Linked DNA regions of Oreochromis niloticus. The main gene of each other region encodes a partner of the protein of the gene in region 2 in a complex. Links are inferred from orthologs where the notes say so. Each region holds a gene or a part of one and is shown on either strand. Other genes may lie near its edges.

What was found.
Region 1: regulator of G-protein signaling 9 (region 2) and regulator of G-protein signaling 9-binding protein share a complex: the UniProt entries of both Homo sapiens proteins name them as parts of the RGS9-1-Gbeta5 complex. The link is inferred for Oreochromis niloticus from reciprocal best matches to the Homo sapiens genes RGS9 and RGS9BP.

Annotation. Positions count from the first base shown.
Region 1 is NC_031965.2:26,982,131-26,994,620, reverse strand, and holds regulator of G-protein signaling 9-binding protein, read right to left. Parts: upstream 6,048-12,490; 5' UTR 5,373-6,047; coding exon 4,632-5,372; 3' UTR 1,886-4,631; downstream 1-1,885. UniProt on the Homo sapiens protein: Regulator of G protein-coupled receptor (GPCR) signaling in phototransduction. Participates in the recovery phase of visual transduction via its interaction with RGS9-1 isoform.
Region 2 is NC_031973.2:8,865,166-8,877,903, forward strand, and holds the start of regulator of G-protein signaling 9, read right to left. Parts: upstream 4,820-12,738; 5' UTR 4,661-4,819; coding exon 4,592-4,660; intron 3,040-4,591; coding exon 2,943-3,039; intron 2,140-2,942; coding exon 2,089-2,139; intron 1,944-2,088; coding exon 1,837-1,943; intron 503-1,836; coding exon 451-502; intron 376-450; coding exon 317-375; intron 240-316; coding exon 163-239; intron 78-162; coding exon 1-77. Other genes in the region: guanine nucleotide-binding protein subunit alpha-13, read left to right, coding at 5,666-5,948, 7,029-7,255, 11,281-11,331. UniProt on the Homo sapiens protein: Inhibits signal transduction by increasing the GTPase activity of G protein alpha subunits thereby driving them into their inactive GDP-bound form. Binds to GNAT1. Involved in phototransduction; key element in the recovery phase of visual transduction.

The DNA.
Region 1 (12,490 bases), on a different chromosome or scaffold from region 2:
TTTTGGTGCAAATCAAAGTGATAACACATGCATTGGAGGGGCAATAACAAAAAAAGGTGGTGGCCACAGATGAGTGCTTCCTCTCCTTTGCTGTGATTTTTCAGTAGTGTCCTTGTCAATACTGGTAGTATGAAACAGTACCTAAAGTACATTCAGGTTGCACAGGTAGTCCAGCTCCTCCAGGATGGCATACCTGTTTATACTGTCTAAAAGAATTCCCTGTATCTCACAACTATCAACGTCAAAAGTGTGGAAGAGCATCAATCCAGCAGCAGGATTGGTATCTGCTTCTTTATATGAGAAAGAAACAGGAGAAACACTACCAGAGCTCTGGAAGTGTTTCTTCTGTTCTTTCAAATAGACTTCAAAAGGGCTAATCATGCATGTTTCTTATCAAACAGCCAGACACAGGCTCCATGAGGGTGGTGTGAGGTAGTTTGTTAAACCATCTGAGAAAACAGTTCCTATTAACCAGGATTTGAAGTAAAAGTCTGGATATGATTTGTCATGTCCGAAATGAAATCCAAGACATGACAACTTTTGTTTTTTGTGGAACATGAGCATCCAAAGATTTAAAAAAAATTCTTTTTAGCTTTCAGCTTTCACTTAACTGTCATAACAGCAAGCTTTGTACAGATACAAAATTAATTTGAGATAAAAGAGGCCATTGGTTGAACTCACCCCCAGAGTTCCAGTACATTATGCACCAGTCACCATTTTAGAAAAGGTGCAATTCAGAAGTGCACCTTCACTAATTCAACCTCAAAATTTAAAATGTAAATAAAGTATATTACCACTTTATTCATAATGTTCTTTCTTCTGTAGTAAGTTGAAAAAAAATATCTATGGCTCCCGAAAAGGTTGCCGGTTCGATCCCCCTGCTCTCTCTGTCCTGGTCGTTGTGTCCTTGGGCAAGACACTTTACCCTACCGCCTACTGGTGTTGGCCAGAGGGGCCGATGGCACGATATGGCTCAGCGTACCCATAGCCTCGTCTCTCACATCTCTCCAGTACAGTATTTTAAGACAGGATTTTTTTTTCCGTAACTGTTTTTGGTATCAGCTCTCAAAAACACAAAGTGCACTTTAAATGTGACAGACCACTGTCTGCTGGACTGCTGAGACGACCAGAACAAGTGGGAAGAGTCTGAACCAGCACAAGAGATAGATCTAAATATGCTGTCATAATGTCGCCTGTGTTCATCAGAAAAAGTACTTTAATGTCACTCTGATCTGACTGAAACATTTCTCCCAGAAAAAAAATGAAGAGACACACTGTAGCGAGTCAGCAGCCCTCAGTCTGTTTTTTATCTTTCTGACATATTTTACCTGTCAGCTTGATAAAAGATGCAGAACTTCTGTCCCCTTTTGCCCTCCCCTGTCCTCACATCTCATCTCTTTCTGCTTCAGAGTGCCGTGTGTGTAGGATGGTGGTGGCAGAAAGCGGGTGAGTTGAAATAACGCTGCTCAACCTTCTGTGCTGTTTGCAGAGTATGTTAAGGGTTTCTATGGCAACTCACAACCTTGGAAACCCACCATCTAAGTCCAGATGAAGTGATGATGCAGTGGTCTGTGTCTGCCAAGTGTGTAGCTCACCTCTTTGTGAACCAGTCTGCTTAGTGTGCTTGTATCCAAGCGAGCGAATGAAGCAAATACATGGTTTTGTTGTGCATAAGTTAAAATAAAATACCTCCAAACAGATGTTGAGAAACCTGATTTACTCACCTGTAAAGGTGAGTGATGGAGCACTCTAAATATTTGATGCTGTGGCTATTTTCAGGAACATCTTGCATAACCGAAATTTTTAAAAAGCAATTTAAAAGTGAAACAGTCTCTGAGTTGCATGTTGCATAAATACTCGTCTTCCTCTGGAAGAGAGTGGAACTAATTTTAAAGGGCAGCGTTTGAGGATGCTTCATCTCATTCTCTACTTAAATCTCCTCCCTCTCATCCTCATGTTTAATTAATCGCTTTTATATTTTTAGATTTCCGGATGACAATGTAAGTCTGTCATGAGTTTCGAGAGATTCAAGGTCCATGACTCACTGTTAGAAGAGCATAGTGCCTCTGTGAAATGACAGCAACGATAAACAAGATGTCAGAAAGCCTACTGTGAATCAGATGTGAGTAGAGCATGCCACTGATTTTCACACATCAAAGTCTTACCAAAGAATGCTTTCAGCTTTTTTGCTAGAAGATGAATTATCTTGCATTTTATCTACTTTGTTTACTTTGTTATACTATTTTCTTTTAATGTTTCTCCACAGGATTTCTGTATTGAGAGGTGGAGAAGAGAGAGAGATTCATTTCCTGGAAACAGGAAATGAATCTGAATCTGAAACTTGAATACCTTTACAAGGTTTTACATATCCTTAATAGTGAAGAAGCTGATCATTAGGGTCCTATCAGGGCTCATGTGATGTGCAGCTTTTCATGTGCCAGCATTTAAACAGACTTTTCATTAAAATTTGCATCAAACTGTGTAAATATTTATCTTGAATTATTATTTTTAGTTAAATTGGCTCTTTTGTCAATCTAAATGGACCCACTGCTGATTTGACTGATGACCAGAGTCGTTACTTTCATGACTGTTTGTTGTTTCGCTCATCAAATGAATGAGAGTTTAGTGAACATAAGTTAACCAACTTGCAATGAAGATGAGGAAACTCACAGGATGAACACGGTGGTCTGTTGGGGAAAGAAAATTAGACACCTACTTACATGAATTGGCTTGTTTTTTAAATGAATAATAATGATAACACACACACACTCTGACACAAAAATGCAATGTGTTTGTGCATAAATCTGGTTTTCTATTTCACTTACACAGACATTATGGCTATGTAAGAAATGGAGTCGTGTGATACCATCTTCCATATTTTAGCCTGGAAGTATCAAACTACAAGTTACTGTGATTTTCAACCCAAATTATGACAAAGTTTCAATGACCATTGTTATTTTTAGACCAACATTTTTCATCATTTAAAATTTTACCCACATGTACCTTTCTGAAAATATCTACATGCATGCTTATACCAACAAATTTGCTATCTTTGTTTTTAAGTGTACTTTTGTCTTTTCGACTTTTTACATTTTTTGTCAAACCTTCTGTGGAGTTTAAAAGTGGAAGATGCTTTCAATCCTTGCATAATATTATTTTATGAATTTTAGGATGGTTTGATAAGCATTAGATGCATTATCTCTCTATATGTTAAGGTTGTTGTTTGTAGCCTAATGTACCAATGTATGTGACTTGAAAATATTTCTGGAGCAGCACTTGTTTCTGTTCTGCAAATTAATAACTAACTTGAATTCATATTTATGTTGGGCTAAAGAAGACTGTCTTAGTGTGCATCTACCCTTAACTAACAACCACTTGCATGGAAACTTTGACTCTGACTGCTTCCAGTTCAACTGGATGCCAATCCAGGAATACCCTTAAAGGCTCTTAGATGTAAAACTATTAGGGAGTTAAAGCATAGTCTCCTTTCCATTTAAATTAAGTACTATTTTAAACCTAAGGTGGTTAAGTCTAAGATAATTCCCCTCTTAAAATATCTCTATGTGTGTTAGATGTATAGATCTCTAGCTTAGCTTTGCAGTGATTACAAACTAGGCCTGGTTATGAGTTACCAGGTACACAACTTACCAAACCTTCACACAAAGGGACCTTACAAGCATGCCTGGTCATTGTTTGTAAAACACCTATCAAACTACAAGCATATTTTCAAGTGTGTTTCGAAGTTTTATTATAATAAATATACTTGATCGTATGTACATTATCTGAAACAGCAGTATATACAAACCTTCTATTCATGTTGCAATGTACATTCAACACTGTGCAAGAGAACCCTGAAAAGGAACATGAGCAGGCTTACAGTGAATGGGTGCGTTATTAAAAGACAGTGAACATCTCTTCGGTCCCAAGGCTCTCATCAAGCACATTGTGATTTGATGCAGTAAAGTAAGATGCAGGCCTATTACAATCTGGCTATACAGATTATTATGACGCATTTAAACGGTGCTGACAGGAGTGTAGAAGAGTGCAGATTTGATAACATCCAACCAGTGTGGTTTGAGGAGCAGAGATTAACTGTGCTGGCTTCCACTATAGTTTCAATAAGACAACCGTTCTTTAGATGTTTTTCCTGTTTGTTTGAGCAGATCTAACTTTTCTGAATGCAAAGCATCAATCCACAGAACATCATGAGAATAGTTAACCGTAGGCTACATTTCTGCTTGAGCTTTTCCACTAATCCACTTGGATTACGTGTTGTTTATATCATCCTGATGGCTAGACTCTGTCACGTAATTTTATGACCTTTTTCCCCACCCTCTTCCAAAAATAAATGGCCCACTGGCCCTCCCCCAAAAAATACTTTTTGTACCTCACTCCCATTATTTTCACACTTTGGCTATATTCTTCTAGTACATTTTAGCTTATCTAGTGCAATTTCTCACCTCCGCCAAATACATTCACAAATCCAGGAAAGCTTAATAACTTTTCCGTGTCCACATTATTTTTCAAGCCCAAAAAGACGCTCTTTCTCTTTCTTATGGGCCTGCAGAGTCTTACCGCTCCCTGGGCAGCTTCACAGGATGTCCATCAGGGTGGGCTTTTGGTTAGAAAGTTCACATATTGACAACCAAATAGCCTAGAACCAAGGCGACTATAACGATGACAAAGAATCCAATCACAGCGCAGATTGACGCAAAACCAGCCTCCCTGCTCCCTCCGCCACCTTCTTCTTCTTTGGGCTCCTCTTCGCAGATCGAGATGACACCCACGGAGGAATTCCCTACACTCATGTTGGACTTGAGCTCAGCGCCTGCCTCCTGCTTCGCCTCAACGGCCCACGGCGCCACCTGCACCTTCATCTCCATCTCTTCCATCATCTGGCTCACCTGGGTGATCTCGGCCTGCAGGTCTCTGAGGTCTGCCGTGTCGATATTGCTGTCCGCCTCGTACTTCATATTCTGCACGCTCATGGCCCGGGCCGCCACCGTAGTGGTGCTGCCGGTCATCCCTGTCTGGATGAGGTGTCTTGTGGGCACCTTGAGGGGGAAATCCTGTGCTATCTCTAAGGACCTTTTCATGTCCACCTCAAGAAGCTCCATGCAACTAGAGAACAGCACCCACAGGCGCTCGTACTCGGCCCGGTCCTCTTTGCTGATGGTCTTATCTTTGAGCAAAGAAGTCAGTTTAGTCCTGTTGGCCACCGCCAGCTCCTGGGCCTTTTTGCGGGTCTTCTTCAGCTCCTCTCGCAGGTTTTGCGAGTCCGAAGTGCTCCCAAGAGCGATGACCAAATGCCTGTAGCAGGCGGTCACTTTGTTCAAAGCGTCCAGCATTGTTTTGCATTCCTCTTTCCCCATGACTGATAAAAAAAAATCTATATCCTTCTTAGAAAATATGAAATGATTAAAAAAGAGGGCAGCTGCAAACAGCGCGCTTATTCGAGCAATGCTTTAGCCACTGACCTCGGTTTAGTTTCCACGGGAGCTCACCACCCGCTCTCCAAATCCACTCAACGCGCTGGTGAGAGAAAATTCCTCTCTATCCATGCTCCTTCCTGTGCAAGCAGATACAGAGAGTGGCTTAGAAATTAATGCGTCCGTAGCCTAAAAGGCTTTAGATTACCTTTGTGTTTTCCCACACGAGATCAAACGGCTCCGGAGCCCGTCTCCTGCAGGACGGATGCGAACGTGAAACAATCCAACCACCCTTTTATGAAATTGCGATCCCGATTCAGCCACAGGTGTCACAACATCCGCCAAACCGTTTGCGTAGAGAGCTCGGTGCCTTTTCCCTTCAGCAGCTTAAAATGTTCAAAGAAATTGCGCTGCCGGACAAGTTAGGTTCGCCATTCAGCGTCCGTGAGGAGCAAAGCGAGCCATTGTTGTTTTGGTTTGTTTTATCTGCATGAGGAGCTGTCCACTTCAGCACCCGATCGATGATTTTTAAATACCAGTAAGCGCCTTCTGTAGTCACATGTGCACGCACAACAGTGCTATTCAGCGACAGGCAGAGGCAGGCTGGGAAGCAAACAGCTTCACTCCCATTGGTTTTTTTTCACACAGGCGTTTGGTTTACATTCTTCATGCTATTGGCTGCACTGTCCGTGATGTGGGCAGAACTGCGATGTCTATCAGCAGAGAAGTCAAATCACAAACACCTTAACTCTCTGACAATACCATTGTCATCAGGGTCCCTGCTTATAGTCGGCTGCACGAGGAAAAATAAAGACTGGTCATCCCAGAGAGGAATATAAAATAAATAAATAAAAAATAAGATTGTTATTTATATCATTTTTACTTAAGTTAAACAATCTATACTTTTAGTATGAATTGTTTAAATGAATGGTTCTTTTCTTCCTCTTCATCCCAGATGGAACTATCCTCAGTCTGTTTCAGTGTTGCCTATTACTTCATCTTCACTGCTGGAGTCTAGACTAAAGAGCTTTCACTGGTACTCTCTCTCGTTCCCACAGTTCCCTTTCCATGGCCATAAAATAATCAAACTCTGATGCCCTGCAGTGTATATATATGTGGCTTGTAGACTTCCTGTGTTAATAGAGGTTATATTGCCATCAACATCAAAATGCACTGTAGTTTCAACTAAGCTGCAATAGGTAGCAGCACAGTGATAAATCTACCCTAATACATAATGTATGCCTGCCATCACTATGTTAGGAACTCTCCAACTTCTTGGTAAAGCCAATAACTAATCAGTCAATCCCATGGCAACAACTCACTGCATGTAGACATGTAGACATGGTAAGGATGACTTGCCTTAGTTCAAACTGAGCACCAGAATGAGAATAAAGGGTATTTAAGTGGTTTTAAATGTGGCATGGTTGGTTGTGTCAGATAGGTTCCACTGAATATTTCTGAAACTGCTGGTCTACTGAGATTTTCCCCACATAATCATCTCTAGGGTTTACAGAGAATGACCCAAAAAAGAGAAATTATCCAGTCAGTGACAGTTCTGTGGGTGAAAATGCATTGTTGTTGCTGAGGCCAGAGGTGAATGACCAGACTACTACGGGCTGATAGGAAGACAACGATAACTTGGTGGTAACAAATAAACACTTGTTACCACCAAAGTATGCAGAAGAGCATCTTTGATATTGAACCCCAAACAAATAGGCTACGGCAGCAGACAGAGCACACTGGGAGCTATTCATATTAGCTAAGGACAAGGAAGCAAGGTTAAAATTTGTGTGGGCTCATCAAAACAGGAAAACAGAAAACTCAAAAAACATCGTCTGGTCTGATGATTTGATTTCTGCTGCAACACTCAGAGATAGAGTCAGAATTTGGCATAAATAACACGAAAGGATGGATCCATCCTGCCTTGTATCAGTGATTCAGGCTCTTGATGGTGGTGTAATGGTGTGTGAGATATCTTTGGCACACTTTGGGCTCTTTAGTACCAGTTGAGCATTGTTTAAACGCCAACAACTTACCTGAGTATTTCTTCTGACCATGTCCATCCCTTAGTGACCACAGTGTACCTGTCATCTAATGGTTGCTTCCAGCAAGATAACAAGCCATGTCACAAAGATCAAATCAAAGTGGTTTTATTTTATTTTATTTACATATATTTTACATGACAGTGTGTTCACAGTCAGCGGACCTCGGTCCATTAAATCACCTTTGGGATGCATCATGGATGTGCAGCTGACATCTGCAACAACTGTGTGATGCTATCATGTCAATATGAACCAAAATCTCTGACACCTTAATCTGTGGAACAAAGAATCAGACAATTCTGAAGGCAAAACAGGCTTCCAACCCAGGATTAGCAACGTGTATCTGATAAAGACGAGTGTAGAGTGCAGTGTAGGGTGATACATTTGAAAAGCTGCTAAAAAAACCCACTACTGACGATGCTGCACCACCTTTTCATCAGCATATCAAAAATTTATAATTTTACAATACTAAAAATAACAGAATAAAAAATTACCATCAGTTTAACATGTATTGCACCATTGACCGTCACAGCTATGTGTAATCAGGTTCAATGAACACTGAAAGGAAACTCAAAACAAACTGATGATACCCTGATACCAAAAGATCTTTCATAAACTGACTAAACCTTCAGTCATATGTTCCTATAAAAAGATAAAACACTTTGTTTCTCCTGGTGTGTTATTCCATCTGATTTTGCAGCTAAGCTGATGTGATTACGAGACACAGGTTTGCAGAAATAGTATTCAGTTTTTCTCTCATGTGACTACTTGCTATTTTTTTCAGTTTCATAAGTGTGGTAAAAGTGGATAATTTGTGGGTTGTCACCGCAGCTGCCTGCACACTGGGAGGAGGCCTGTTGTTGCACGCAGTACTGGATGGATAATGTGTTGTTTAGTTGGCTCCTGCTGTGTTGAGAGATGAGAGGCACATAAGGCTGAGTGGTATTTGCCTGCTTTGCTCTTTTTGCATTATTCAAGCGGATGGGGCCTAATGATCCAGTGACTACAGTGCAAAGCTAATGGACTGGAGTGCAGTGAATGCCTGAGGAACTGAGTGAGAGGCTTATTGTTCGTTTCACATAAAATGACATCTGCTGTGGCATGGGAATTGATTTCTTCTGTTCAATTTATTCCTAGTTTGAAAACCATTTTTGCTCATATCACTCATTAAAAACATTATGCATACCCACGCCTCATATTTGATGGTTTATAAGGTAACTGTGGACTAACATCTGCAGATCCCCATCTTAAGATTACAATATGTGGCTCTGCTGTAAACTGCACTGTTTAATATATTTAAAGTGCTGGTAGCCATTTCAGCACTTTCTGACTAATAACAAATATCTTGGTTGAGTCAGATGATCTTGGCAAATGGATCGTCTTTCCTTTCATGAATATGTTTCCATGGCTACCTCTCACCTCTTACTACTCTTCGGTTATTTTTCTCCAAGGTATTTAATTGCTGACATTGCTCTGAGATGTCATCTTTCACTTTGTGCATTTAAAGTTACAAATCAGTTGTTTTCTGTTGTTTATTTCATGTTCTCATGAAATTGCTTAAGGAGCTAACTTTTACATAGACTAAACAAATAACTCAATTTCCATTTTCATTTCATGGGCTTTCATTAACTTATTTTGAGCTTGAATTTAAAGTGTAAAAAAATAATCAAAAATATCGGAATTCATTAAAAGATTAAAGACCATATGACTTCCCAAAAAACGTATAACTGGGCTAATGCAGACTTTATCACCTTTATAAATAACTGATGGCACGGTAAAGTAAGTCGGACTTGCAGGATTAGAAAATTGGCCATGGTCTCTGTCTGTCTACCTATCTGTCTTTCTCCTCTCCTGTAAAAAGGTTGCTGATAAGCTGCTGTGTTAGATTCAAGTGATGAGTCAGACATGCAGTGATCTGATTGCTCTCAGTGCCAACACATGATGGAAAACTCAATTTTTGATTTCCAATTTTTGTTTGCACAGGACAATAAAATGATATGGAAGCTCTCCAGATATTACTGTTGTTTTTACACAGATTATCTCTGTTTGTGTAACAAATGCAGTATCAGTAAATCATTAGATTATTTACACTGATATAGATCCCAAAGAAAAAGACACATATAGCAATTTTGTTTTGCCTGGAAGAGCTACACTGATGCACTAAGTACATACCATGATTCAGTAGCTTATAGAACTACCTTTAGCTCCAATACACTGAGTTGCTTTCTGTGTAACTTTATCTCTTGGATCGTTGTGGATGAATTTTGACACACTCTTCTTTAGAGTGTTGCTTCAGTACATTTATGCAGAGCTCTCTCAAGGTCCTGCCACAACATTTCATTCAGGTTGAAATCTAGACTTTGACTGGGCCATTACAACATCTTGATTGTTTTCCTTTTCCAGTCCCTCTGTTGTAGAGTTGATGTTTTGTTTGGGATAATTGTCGTGTTAGATGACCTAATTTTGAAACTGCTTTAGGCTGTCAGAGAGATGACCACACATTTGACTCTGTAATACTTAGGTGCACAGAGGACTTCATGGTTGACTCACTGACTGCGCCGTGCCCAGGTCTTGTGGCTGCAAAATAAGCCCAACTCTACACCACTGTGCTGACGGTTGGTATGAGGTGTTTGTGCTGACATGCTGTGTTTGGTTTTTGCCAAATGTGGCACTGTGCTTCATGGCCACAAATCTCCATTTTGGTCTCATTCTTTCAAATGATATTTGAATAGATGTATGAGTGTGTATTTGCCAGAGTATTTGGCAGGAAGGTTGTTCCAGGCTTTTTTTTAAAAAATTGCCATCTTTCCTTTTTGGATTCATGCTGCCTCCGGTGCTTCTGTCTTTTTATGTAGTCCAAATATCAATCTTTGATGTTGAGTTCAGGGTATTGTGGAGTCTTGTTCTTCTTGTGATTCTTGTGTTGCTGCACAATGAATTTAAACAGAAAAAAAAAATACCCCAAAGGTATTACACTGAATAACATTATAAACAGCTCAAAGCACAAATAATATTTGCAGTAGCTTTAAAGAGAGTCTCAACCTTGCAGCTATCTTCATGTTATATGCTTATGTTCTATACTTCAATTAAATAAGTAAAACTGGCATATTTGACATGATTTTTATCATTAAAAAGTAAATACACCAAAATGTCTTATTACAAAAGTATTTAGTCACTTACATCAGTACTGGCAGCTTTGAGTGTGGTTTTGACAGCTGGGTTTAAACAAGAAGTGCCTCTTAGTTTCTCTCTTCAGAGTTCTGCAGTGTTGTTCTACAGGCTGTAATTGCAGGCTCTGACTAGGTCAGTCAGGGACAGTATGACAGTTGTCCTGAAGTCACTCCAGTATTGTCTTGGCTACATGCCTCAGCTCATTGTGGTGCTAAAAGCTGAACCATTGCCCCAGTCTTAGGTCCAGGCTCTCTCTGTGCTGCACTGAGCCTTTGATGAGTCCCTCTGTCTCCTGCTGCTGTTGAGGCGTGGCTGTGTTCACAAATATTTGGGAAATTTGCCTCTTCTGCTTCCTCTCTGGCAGGCTCTGTAAGAAGTGTAATTTATCTTTTCTTAAACCAAATCAAGTAGCCAATACAAACTGTGAAAGGAAAAAAAACACACACATACACAACACATAACAAACTTCCATAAGGGAAAATTATTATTCCATTAGCAGAATTCACCAGAAAAAAATCTGACTAACAATATCAAAATTCTTTTCCATGGAGATTATTAGATTATAGTATATGACAGCATCAGATGCTAAATTACTCCAGTTTTAAATTTTCCCGAAATAAAATATAGTATATATGGAATGCTTAACTGAGAAATTTCATGCACCAAGAGCTAAGCATTAAAATAAGAGGCTCAAGAGGTTAAAAAGAGGAGGAATTTAAAAGGGAGGAAAACATCTTAGTATGTAAAGGAGACACAAATGGTGCTATAACATGATACAAATTCTATAATCCAGATTAGCGGTTTTCTACAGGTCCTGGGATTAGCAGTATAATGCTCACTAATGTATCTTTTAAAGAATGCTGATCTGTCTCTCTTGCATTTTCATCATATGGAATCAATGGTTTTAGGGAGGAAATGGAGGCCTCTGGTGCTCACTACACTTTGTGTGAGATGATGGTTAAAAGAGGACAGACATAAACACGGTTCCCCCCTGAGCTCTGATACTCTGACCAAACACATTAGAAGACTCTAACGTCTGTAAGCCCTTTGATAATCCCAGTAAAAAGCTCCAGCACTAACTGATATTTCCCAAATGACCAAATATGCTTTCTAGTTATGGCCCGCTTTAAGTTTGCACTAGTGCAGTCATCAATGTGACTACTTTTGTTAACATTTAAGTGACATCCTATTCTTAGTCCGTGGGGTTAACCCTTTGCAGATATAACAGTTTCAGCTCTTCTGGGAAGTCTTTCCACAAGGTTTAGGGGTGCGTTTATGAGAATTTGCATTTGTGAGGTCAGAAACTGATGTTGGACAAGGACTGGCTCCCAGTCTCCTCTCTAATTCATGCCAAAGGTGTTCTCTCGGATTGAGGGACTCTGTGCAAGCCAGTCAAGTTTTTCCACACTAAACTCACGCATCCATGTCTTTGTGGGCCTTGCTTCCTACGCTGGTGTGCAGTTCCCAGTTCCAAAACTGTTCCCAGAAAGATGTAAGTGTTAAATTGTCCAAAATGTCTTGGTATGCTGAAGCATTAAGAGTCCTTTTCAATGGAACTAAAGGGCGAAGCCCAGTACCTGAGAAAAAACTCCATTGTCATGGTTCCCTTCTCTTCCTGGTTTGAGATGTCCTTCTCTCTTTCTCTCTCTCTTTTTTCTTTCAGTTCTGCGTTGTCTTTCAGACGTAACGTGTTTCGTTGCGGCGATCACATACCTGAATTTAGCACCCAATCACACACCTGCGGGTTGCCGGACCAATTACACTCTGGCAATTGGAAACTGGAGATTCTTCTCAACTGACACCAGATCACTGCATCGCTAGCAGTTGAACAATACTTTTAATCAGTAT
Region 2 (12,738 bases):
GTCTGTGAACCACCCAGTAGGCTCTCTCCTGACAGTCAAACACCACACGGTCCGGTTTCTTTCTCTCCTTAGCAGCTCTAAAACCCCACCCAAACACAGAGAGTCATGACACATTGTTACCCTTAACGCTTCCCGACATCACTGAGCTTCCTGCACACCCACCTATACTGTTCTTTAGCTTGCATCACTATAAAATCCCATTTATGATTCATCCACTTGTGAAGACGGTTGTACTGCTCCTGAGGACATAAAACAACACCTCAGTAAATGCCAACAGAGAAAATTAATTGCCGTGGGATTCATGTCCAATTCTCACCTGCTCGTGCAGCTCCAGGATTCCTTTCTTACGTATGTTTCTTTTTGCCAGGTAGATTGCTTCCGTAACAAAAACATAGATGGGTGTTAACGGTAAGTGATTCTTGGTAACAGGATGCATTCAGATACACTCACCATAATCTGTATCCTCAACAGGCCACTGCTGTGTGGGCCAGAAATATGGTGTCTGCAAACAACGGAGGGCAGAGGTGATGATTAGCAGTAAGCGTTTTTGTGAGTGGGATTCATTTCTTGCAGATTTGAGGGTGTTTTTTGTTGGTTGTTTTCAATTTGCAGTCATTCAGGAAACTAAAGCCAGACTAATTTGGGGTTTCACATCATAAAATAAATAGGACGGAAATTGGTTTTACCTCGCTTTAGTGGTTTTTGTGTCTTGTAATGGTAAACTCTTTTATAATCTAATCATTACATGTTACAGCAGTGATGCTAAACCCATTACAGAAGATCTGGCACATGCCGCTTTCTGGAACCAATTTACCAGTGGGAAATTACCATGGTCAATAATGTTGATAAAATGAATCAGCTAATATATTAAAAATAACAAGTGAGTGCAAAATTAAATATGTATATTACACTGTAAAAAATATCTCTCAAAACACTAAAAATATCCCGATAATTTTCTGACAGTAAATTCTAATTTTTGCCAAAGTGTATGGGCATTTCTATGTATTGAAAAAATGCAATACATAGTGAAAAACATCCGTAAAAAGTAATATGGAAAATTCCTTTATTTTAAAAATGGTGAATGTTTTTACAAAGATGTTTGTTTTTATTTTAGTGTAGGGCCTTTCTGTCAATTTTTGTTAAAGAACAAAAAAGTATAAAAAAATGCAGCACTGTTTTAAACTGAAGGAATTTTCCATTTAATTTTTACACATTTTTAAAAAGAAAGGTTTCTCACATTTTTACATTTCTGCATAAAAATGAAAAATGGAAAAACTTCCAGAAAGTGCATGATTTTACTCCACAAGGCTCAATCAGCCTTTTCTTTTTTTAACCTTCCATGGCTCTGCATTTTTATTTTGAACTTACATGATATACCAACATAATTATTCTTAGAAGATGCTATGTGCTCAGGCTAAGAGACACAGCAACTTTCTAACCTTCACATCAAATGAATTTGATGTACTGATGTGTTTTTATCACAATCTTTTAGGCTTTGCACCTAATAAATTAGCAACTGCTCTGTCCTTTTCTGTTTTCTTATAAATAAACAACAGTCACACTTAAATGACCTTTGCAAGCACTTCAGTTTACATCGCATTTGTGCATGAGTTGTGGAGTCACTAGATAGCAGGAACAGGACTGCACACTATGCCACATTAGTGTTTCTGCATGAGTATGTGCATCCCTTTTGCATGTTAACAACATGCAAAAACACTGTTCAGTGTGCAGCAATGAAAACTAAATCTTCCCATAGCCAGAAATATTGTTTTGGAAGATCGTTTGGCTTTGCTGCAGCTGAGATTTTGGCTAAGCTTTAAAATGTGGTGTGTTTACCTGGAAGCGATACAGGGATGCATCTGGTTTGACTACTAAACGCTTGTGGTCTTGTATAGGGTAGATGTATCCTAACGCCACCAGCATGGAGCCAAAACTCCTCGCCTCTGAATAAAAAAGACAGATTTGCTATAAATGAGGTTCTATCACTAATTTTCACTGTCAGCTAACATGATAACATCCTAAAACTGTCTTATTTTTATGAAAGCACACACTTTGAACTGGGATGGCATCAGCTGCCTGATCTCTCACCTTGTGCATCGATTTGGAATCTGTCTGCTAACCACGCAACTATGTCTTCACCTGAGGAAAAAGGACTCAAGGTCAGAAGTAACAAAGGATCTATGGAAATAAACAACACTAGTCAAAAGGGCAGCTTGAACAGCAAACAACTTTAAATATACTGTATGTTGTTTATGTCCATCAGTGCATGCCTGTAAATGCCAGACAGCTAATGTGAAAGAGAGACATGGAAGGAGAAAAGGGAGGAGGAGGAGAAGGATGACAAGTGAAGAAGAGAGAAAATGACAGAAAGGCAAAGGAAAGAAACAAGAGGAAGAAAGAAGCTAGGAAAGGAAAGGAAAGGAAAGGAAAGGAAAGGAAAGGAAAGGAAAGGAAAGCTTGTGAGATGAAAGAAAGGGAGAAAGGGGAAGGAAAAGGAAACAGGAAAAGCAAAGGAATCAGAGATGGAGAGAAAACAAAACAGCAAAGAAAGTGAGAGGGAAGTGGAGAGAGCAGCAGAGAAGAAGCCTTTGGTATGTTTTCATTCATTCAGCTGCGGGCATTCAAAGCTTGCGGGTGACGTAGAAGTCTGGGTTCCCTCTCTTCTCCTCCACCACCTACTGCCTGCATTTCTCTTGCTTCGGTCTCTACATGTTTGTTTCCTCTCGCCTGCTCAATCATCATCCTCCTCCTTCACCTCCTACTTTTTCCCTCTCTCTGTCTCTGAGACCATGGGGTTGTCATGGAGATGAAATCTGTAGCTCTGAGTTTGAGCCCAACGCCGTGGTATCCTCCGGCGAGGTTGTGCAGGTACAGTCACTCAACGAGCCGCTGGATAATAATCAAGCCACTGTAGTGTATGTGAGAGTGTGTGTCCACTTTACCAGTAATAGCATGTGGTATTGTGGTGATAACCAGTCTCTGAGGCTGTAGCTTCACTCCCGTTGCGGGGTCCTGCATCTCGAGGACCACCTTCTCCGCCTGCACAAAAAAAGCCCGTGAGGAGGTATCACATCAGAGCTCACAGTGTAGGTTTCTGGGGCAGCAGATTTGATTGTAAATCCTAAATTTTGATCAGTGAAATTCACATGACGGTGATGATGATCATTAGTGTAATCTCGAGCATGCACAGCATCACCGTTAACCTCTTTTCTACTTAATGAAAGGGAGAGAAAGCTGCATTAAACTGCGTCTCACTGATTAAAAAAGGGCAAATTTCCCCCCTGGGATGTTATGGCTCGCTGTGTAAGCTTGTAATTAATACTTCCTATCAGACGAATGCCGAATGATTCGGTTACTGTGACTCTCCAAACAACTGTTCAGCTTTTTAGTCCAATGACTGGATTACAGTTTTAATGCTGCATTAGAAAGTGGTGAGAAGCGAGATGACGGGATTGTTTCAAGCCTTGATCTCATGGCTTTTGTTTGGCTTGTGTGGGAGGTTTGCGATGACTCACTGCCCTCTAAACAGTTTTTCAGCTATCATACCATCTGATCCCAGAGCTCCCCCACAACTTAGGTGTGTACGGAAGAGGAAGAAATCCTGTAGTACATTAATTCACTTTATGTGTATGTGTATGTGTGTGTATGTGTGAGAGAGAAAGAGAGCGAGAGTGTGTTTGTAGCTGACTCCTGGCTCTTTTTGAAGTGGCTTTGTGCTTTGAAGTCAACCTGGAGAGGCTATAAGCCCCAGACTGAGCTGGACCAAAGTGGGCTTTCATTGACCAAAACACAAAGTTCTCCAGAAAATGGATTCTGTGTGCATTCCCCTGGAGAGAGGGGGACACTGTGTGAGCACTATATCTGGAAGCTCATGTCTTGATTATTTCCTTCCATTTATTATTTTTTTCTAATGCTAAAACATTCTCTTTGGTGACCATCCAACTGAATTTTAAATATGAGATGATGAATGAAGGACTGCTCTGGCTGGCCTCACACACACACACACACAATTCACACAGCGCCTGGATTAACTTCTTTCCAGCAGCTGGCTGGTGTAGATGGAGGTATTGATACTGATCCAGGCCTAATGCTTATTAAACAGAACGACCTTATCACAGTGAAAAGGTTGAAACAGAACACAGTCTGACAGCTATATAGAGTGTAAGGGGGAAGCTGACATGACATCTGATTTACAGTATGTTGACATCATTCTGAAACATGAGTATATGAATAACATCTCTAATAACCCTTAATAACTAAAGTCCATATTATTAAAGAAATGCATGTTTGCTATTGGGTTTCCCTAAAGCTTGGTGTAGTCCAAATGATACCTGTGGGTTTTAATGCTTAACGGAATGACCATCCTTAATAAATCTATACAATGAAAGCATTGGGATTTCCAGAGAATATTATAGATTATTATAGTGCAAATGCCAACAACAGCCTGGGTTTGTGAGGTTCCTGCAGACCACTACAGTCCAAGCATTGCGTTAGAGAATTTATACAAGTCACTAATGATGCGTCTGCTGCAGGTATAATCTATAAGCCTGTGCTCTGGTTTACATCATCTAATGTAAGCTGTGTAGCCCACCTTTTTGAGACAAGCCATCCGTGGTCGGTACCTCTGTCCATGATCCCGGAGAACGTTTCGGATGGTCATGTTGTCTGATGCTTTGCACCTCTCTCTCTCACACACACACACATACAACACTGCTGCCGCCTGTGAGAGCCCTGTGTGTCGTGTGGGGATGCTTGAGGGGAAGTGCAATACTGATCGATGGTGATGTTGCCTTCAAATGTTCCCCCCTAAACCTCTTACTTGGAAAAACGGAAACTGTTAATGTGCTATTAATTTATCATTTTTAAATTGAATTAGGATTAAATTACCCGTATGGCACTTCAGGCATGTAATAAAAAGTTGACAGCTCCAATAAGAGTGACAGAGAATTGTCTAAAATAGGTTTAAGTAATTGCAATGTGAAGCCGTTTTAGTTAAATATAGGCAATAATTTAGTGCTCTTTATGTCATCAATGCCATAAAAGCACAGACAGAAGGTCAAATACATCCACTTTCACAAAACCAAGGTTTTTTCCGTCAAGATTTCAAATTTTATTGATCTGCAGCAGAGCGTTCAAGTGCAGATAGCAATATTTCCTGCAGTCTCTGAAAGCAGCATGTCTAAAAGTGTGAAACGAATCAACCAATCGGAGCGCGTCTTTTTTCAACGTGTTTTTATACTGCACCAGTAGAGGGCGACATGCCACCACCGGTCAAATCTCCTTTTTTCCTTCATATTTATTTTAATGTTAATTATGAAAACTGTTTTTATTTTATTTTTTTACTTTAATTATAGCCGTTAACGCCTATTAATTCTTTTTATAGTGTATCAGGCAATTGGACCTCTAGAACTTTAAAATGTATTCGCGTGTAATTTTCATTATGCTGCTTATAAAGTTATTTCTGTGTGTTTCAATTCAAACGTAGCTACGGACAATATTGCGTGTTTATGTGAGGCATATCCGCGTAAATAGCACAGTAGGCTGTGCCTTAAGATTGATGGTAAACAGTCAGCAGCGGTACTTCCTGAGTTTAGGGAAGGGGCTTGGTCCCGTGCCTGCGCCCGAGAACGCGCATCAAATTAGCATCGATGAAGTTTGTGCGAACATGGCGGATTTCCTGCCGACCAGGTCCGTGTTAAAAGTTTGTCTACCCGTCTGCCTGCTTAACAGCGGCGAGGTGGAACAGCTGAGAAAGTCCAAAGAGATCGACAGATGTCTCTCCAAGGAGAAAACGTATGTAAAACGGCTGGTGAAGATCCTGCTCCTCGGCGCTGGCGAGAGCGGCAAGTCGACTTTCCTCAAACAAATGCGGATCATCCACGGCCAGGACTTCGACCAGCACGCCCGAGAGGAGTTCAGAGCAACGATTTACAGCAATGTTATCAAAGGTAACCTCGCTACCGAGGGCTGGTAACTTTAAGGGCGTGAAAATCGCCCTTTTTACTCGGTTAAAAGGTACTGGAAAGTTTCCACATCTGTTTAGCAGCGCTGGGCTGGGTGAGAGGACACATAAACAGTCTACATCTGCTCTCGGCACACCCATAGGAGCCTCGTTTGTCCTGAAAGCTTAAATGTTTTTTAGGGGGTTATTTCAGCATAGCTATACTAAATACAGCGAATCAAGTTTTTGTGATATCTTTAACCAACACTACCCGCTGTTTTAAATCAGCTACAGGCAAGTTTTGTTGCTCAATAACTAAGCTCGGGATGAAGCTAATGGAGGGCAACCCGCCAGTGTAATGTGCTGTAAGGTGTTCCTCTTTGTCCACGGACTGAATGAAAGAGAAATCTTTACGTTGGTGTAGTCCACGTTAAACAAAATCGTCTGTAAATACCAACAAGGCTCAACCGTCGCTTTTTAATAGTCACAAAATTGTGTATAACCCGACAGTTATTTCGGCCATTTTCAAAGTAAGGTGTTGGTGTGACCAGCACATCCTGTACATTTTTTTTTAATGAATAAACAGTCAGTTTGAAATAAATGTAAATAATAACTGTGAATACAGGAATTTCCCCGGCTTATAATGTGGTTTTGAAGCTTGATTGGTCATACTTTATCGAAGGTTTTGAATTTTCTTGTTATTTCTGATCATTACATCAGGAAAAATGTGCTTTATTCTTGACTGAATGAAAGCTCAGTTAAAGAAAAATTGGTAGTGATGGTTAGCACAAGGTGGTGATTTTTTTTTTCCCCCCTTTGAGGGGAGGCTAAGACCTCTTTGGTGGAAATTTTGTGTAAGCAGGAAAAACCCTGAAATCTGTGTAGTAACAGGGTTATGTTAATCATGTGCTACCTTAAAATCAACTCTACTTTTTCTTGCCCCACTAGCATTTTTTTGTATTTTATTCATTTTTTTTTTAGACACAGCAGGCCTCTAAAGGACACAGGTGTTGGGTTACTTTTGTTTCACCTGCCCTTCTCACTACCCTCTTCCACTTTTAAGTTGCCGTCTGACTTCCTTTTCCAGGTATACGTGTGCTGGTGGACGCCCGCGAGAAGCTGCACATCCCGTGGGGTGATGAAGACAACCAGCCACACGGCGACAACCTGATGGCATTCGACACCCGCTCGGCAAAGATGACCAGTGGGCAGCTTGAGACATCGGTTTTCCTGGAGTACCTGCCCGCCATTAAGGCCCTGTGGGCAGACTCGGGCATACAGAACGCCTACGATCGGCGCAGGGAGTTTCAGCTGGTGGGTTAGCACACGCACAGACACACCCACACACACACACACACACACACACACACACACACACATATGCTGAAATGGCATAACTGACAGATAATGGTGGCCTAGTTTTGTCTGATAAAAACGTCCTCAATCTCAGCTCTCTATCACCAGGTGCAAGAAGGGTTTTCTGGTGTTTCTGAATGGGTTTTTCCAAAAAGTCATATTGATGAAAATGGCAGTGAAAACAGAAAGTGAAACTGACTTTTCAATTCATCCTCCCTTTCCTCTCTCCCTGCATCTTCGGCTCTAATTCTTTAGTCTCTGGTGCTCTCTCTGTGCCGAGTGGTCAGACATGTGATTCAATAGGCTTCCTGTTTACACCTCTCCCAGCTGCTTATATCTTTTGGCTGTCAGTGTGCACGTCTTAACTCTGTGACGTTTACCCCAGAATAGCAGATGTGGTCGGGAGTGCGTTCACATGTCCTTTCTGGGCTGTTGATATGCTCTTATTTTATCTTTTATTACCGTAACTTTAGGCTTCTTTTTAAAAATGACCAGCTGTCAGGGATTTTCCTGACTCAAAATAAGCCTCTTTTTCCCATGAGTGTGGCTTTACAGTTAAGGCACTGATTGTTTTACCTGATTTGACAGAAATCTGTGTATTCTGGCAATTAGTAAGCAAAAGAAAAAAAAATGCGTCAATTTTATCCAAGTAAATAATCCCCAATTAAGAAAACAGTGTGTTTATCACAAGGCTGGTGATTTTCCTGTGGCTCTTGCCAAAATGTTCTCTATACAGGAATAACCCTGATTGCCCTGCCTTCATGTGACAAACTTAAACACTTCAGCAGTTAAGGGGCCCCCCAACTGAAGACAGAATAAGGGCTGCGCGTCTCCGAGTGGCTTTCAGTAATGAAAAGCAGAAAATTACAATTTGCCTGTGGGTTGGATAAAACCAAACTTTTCTCAATGGCGTTTTGTTGCTCTGGCACACACACACTCAGCTTGTTGGTGCAAACCTTTCCAGACAGACAAGGGGAATAAGTGTGATCAGAGCAGGAATGTTGATCTGTAGTTAAACAGCTTTATGCTTACAAACAGATCCCTGGCTCTCCCACTCAGGGTTATTTGCACACAAACACTAAGAGTGTCGCACACCTCGCGTTACACAAGGTCACACACACACTAACGTGCATAACCTATCTGTGTAAGAGTGTAAGTATTTTATTCATGTATTCATTTTGCAAGTTGGCAAGTTCCTTTTTTCCACCCGCCCACCCCCGAAATCTTCAAAAGCATTAATTATCACGGAAAACATTGCACCTTTTAGACTTTTGAAGCTGGAGCTGTGCATTTAATAATGGAAGTGAGCTGTCACTTGGACTGATCATTCATATAAACACACAATTGTGACTCATTCGGTGACAGTAGTAAACGGAACAATGTAAGCAGCCTGCTATGGAAACAGCCTGTAACTGAAGAGCGGCAGGATCGCTAAAAGCCTAACTAGCTGTTCAGTTACTGGACGCTAGGTGTTGGTATCACAGAATCACTGTAGCCTAAGTGTGCTGCGAGGCGATCATCTGCGATACATCACAATATCTGTGAAAACGAAACAAGTAAAAACGCCCACGAAAAAGCAGGAATCATACATTTATATTCTCCACTGTGGTGGTGGGATATGTGTATCATCATTAGCAGTTCACTTCAGAGCTTTATGTGGCTTATAATGGACCCCTGTGGGGGTGACTAGCTATGTAAGTGCATATAGATATGGCAGTGAGTCTGTGTGAACTTGCTTAACACAGGTCATAAGCACTGCGGCAACTGAAACTGGCGAGGGAATCCGGGTGAAATCGCCTACATGTGTTGATAAAGATATTGATACCGCAGATGGAAGCCATACAAAATATATTGTCCCATCCTTATTTCACGTGTGCATATGTTTACAGATTAAAGCTCTTTGAATTTTGGCCGATTGGTTGAACAAAGCAAATAGTAGGTCACCTGTCACTTCGTCCCACTCTGGAAAATGAGGTGACATTTTATAGACTAAACAATTGATCAGAAATAGCTTTGAGCCTTTATTTGTTGTGTAATATCAGTGGAGGGTCAATGGAACACAGACACAGGGCTACACACTCTCTCTCTCACACACACACACACACACACACACACACACACACACACACACAATTACATATTACTGTACAGCCAAGACAGTTAGTTTATAAAAAAATGACATTTTTAAGTCATATGTGACAATTAATTAAGTGCTCTAGGGTACAAAGTGAAACAATATTTGACTTTAATTTTAAAAAAGCATTATTTTAGGATCAAAAAAGTCTCTGTATATGTATTAAAATCAATGTATGTACAAAACAGTGTAGTTTTTGTCAAATATCCATCTTTTATGAAACCAACCACACATTTTGAAAAGCAGTAGGGATGTTTTTTTTTTTTTTTTTGCCTTTTCTCTTATATTAAAATAAACTTAATATTGTTAGATGCTTGAAATGAAACTGGATATCAATTGCAAGCTTACACAGTGTACAAAACTTTAATATTAAGTTTTAATGGTGAGTACACTGTAAACCCTGAGGGCAAAAGTAATTCTGTTGGGAGCCGTTAAAATTTCTTTCCTTCTCTGAGAAGAGATTTGTTTCATTTCCAGCGGATTACCCAGAATCCCCTCGTGTTGACCGTGCTCCATTTAAGCATTTGCATCACAAATCGCACGTGCCTTCAGGCTTGGTTGTAATTATCATGTTTAAAAAAGCACACACACACACACACACACACGTAACGCTGTGAGTATGCACATGGCTTCTCTCACTTCCTGCAGTGCAGACGTCAGTGTTACTCTTTACAATAGTCTTAATCTTTTCATCTGAGATTCATAGTATTAGAATTATTTAGTCACATCTTCCTTTAATGTAAGTGTCGGTTCAGATGACATATTGCTGAGTTTCAGTTTTGCTTCTGCAGGCGTTGTCATGCCTCAGCAGGGAGAACGCAGAGTGATTGCGCTTCTTGTTTCTCTTCTCCTTTTTAAAAAAAAAAAAAAAAGAACGGGACAAAAAATCTGACTCGATTTTTGATTATTTCAAAACCAACCAAACCCTTCTTAGTTATGAGCTCCTTTTACTCGGGCGGAGTCAGATATGAAATCAGAAAAGTAGCTTTTTCTTCATTTAACTCTAGTAGAGCGCCACACCATTGGGCTCCTCCCTTGGGTAATCCTAGCCATGCACATACACACACAGACATGCACACACAATCACAGGTTTTTCAGGTCAGGTTAGTTTTTTTTTTTTTTTTTCCCTCCCCTAAAGATCAAAAGGTGACAAGAAGAAGAAGCTGGGGTGGGTAATGCTGGTACATGGTGGTAAGAGAGAAATACAACCTGGTCGCTGCAACTGGGAACATTTAAATGCTTATTGTGTCATTAATGCAAAATACATGCAAAAAACAAAACAAAAATCCCCTGTGTGAGTGTAGTGCGTTGCAGTAGAGGCGCTGCAGGTCACAGGAAAGACGATGGGTTAAATCTGTTTTTCTTTTTGCACGCGGTATTTTGGTTTACGTCGAGTGCAGGACCTGCACCAGCTCACAGATAAAGGAATGCATCTCAGTCCTGGCAGCCCCGTGTCTGGACTTGCACTGCCTGCATGAAAGCAGTGTTGAAAAGGTCTTGGGGAAAAAACTCAAATAAAACACTTCTAACCACGCACACACACACTAACCAACACTTCTGTATACATCAAAGACACACTTAGAAACACGTGTCACAGTCTGACTAAATAATGCGCATCCTGCCTCAGTACCTCAGAACACACTCTGTTCTGGGGCAAACACGGGAGAAAGAAAAAAGTCAGGTTACCTCTGTCTGTGTGGTAGCTAAACACTCTCCCCACTGGTATCTCGGCACCTTTTCCACTTGCAAACATATTGCTGTAAAATGTTTTCTGCTGATTGTGGTAAAAATGACAGAACCTAATTAATTGTGTAGAATTAACAGAAATTCCTCCTCTGTCCTGTCGCAGGGTGAGTCAGTGAAGTATTTCTTGGATAATCTGGATAAGCTCGGCGAGCTGGTAAGTTGTTTCTGCTTGTACTCTCTGTGATAATCAGACTTGTGCATGTTATAGTTAATACTGCAACATGTCCAGACAATTAATGGTTAGCTTAGAAATGACTAAGGCGGTTGTTTGCCACAGATAATGTTGGCATTTTGTGAAAGAAGCTCCTTATATTTAATTAAGCTCAATTTTTTTTCAGGTGTATAAAAGTTTAGTTAAAAAAAACATCAAGATGAACACAGTAAGCAAGTTCAAACAGTTTATAAACCCTTAATAGTCTAAACTCCAAAACTTGAGGGCGTTATTGAGAGTAAATCAGGGTTTTTCCTTTATTAACATGAGAGATATTTTAACCGCTCCCAACTGAGTCTTAACAATACTTCCTTTTTTCTAACATCAGCATGCTGGAAGTTGAATTGTTTTTCAGATTTCTGTGCATCATAAACACATCCTTTTTACATTGAGGACATTAAGTGCTTATACTTGTACTATTATTTACAAACACACATGCGTATGCTAACATCTACAATCTTACTGTCTTTATGAGGTTTGTATGCGTATGTTTGTTTTGTAAATTTAATTACACTTTTATTACCAAGGTTGTGCTTACAGGTGGTGTAAGCACAAAGGCTGCTGTATTCTTTTTGATGCGTCTTTCATGTTGTGCTCTTCAATACAGCCACCTTTCGTATGAACTCGATACATAAAGTGCAGCCTTTTCTACTCATTTCCAGCACCACCTTTTTAGACTCTACTAGAGTGGCTTTGCATGATTCATAGTTAAAATTAATCCTTATACTGTGCTCACTCAGATCTGTGTGTCTGGGATGACAAGATTAAGGAGGTGCCACATCTTGGTGACGTCAACCAGAGCTAGGAGAAGAAAAAAATGCCATGCCATTGTCATGTTTACTGCAAGCTTCCATCATATCAGTATACATATCACAGAAAATGGACAGAGGCTTAGCGGCTTCACTTTATATGTGTTTGAATGAATATAATGTTGCATGCACACACATCCTCATAGCTTTTGTAAATGCTATGAAGCTAAAAAGCTAGTTTTGTTTCGTGTGTTTCTGTAGGGGGGTGTGTATGTTAACTTCACTCCTGTGGCTGACCTCAGGCTTTTTTTGTTTATTATAGAAATACATGCACACACAGTTGCAAACCACAGTGTTCTCATTACAAATGAGCACATTTTGAATGGGCGCTGCTAACATGAATGAAATCCCCCCTAAATGCATAGTCAAACTCATAATGACTGTTTTCATAATGGAGTTGCTGTGTTTTCTTTCATCACCATTTTACAAACAGCATCCATTTGTGGGTGTTTGTGTTTAGTTTATAAACATAATATTCATTTCAATTCTTTGTGCTGTCAATTTTAGCCGTGCTAGTTTCTCTCCTCCTTGTTTCACCCTG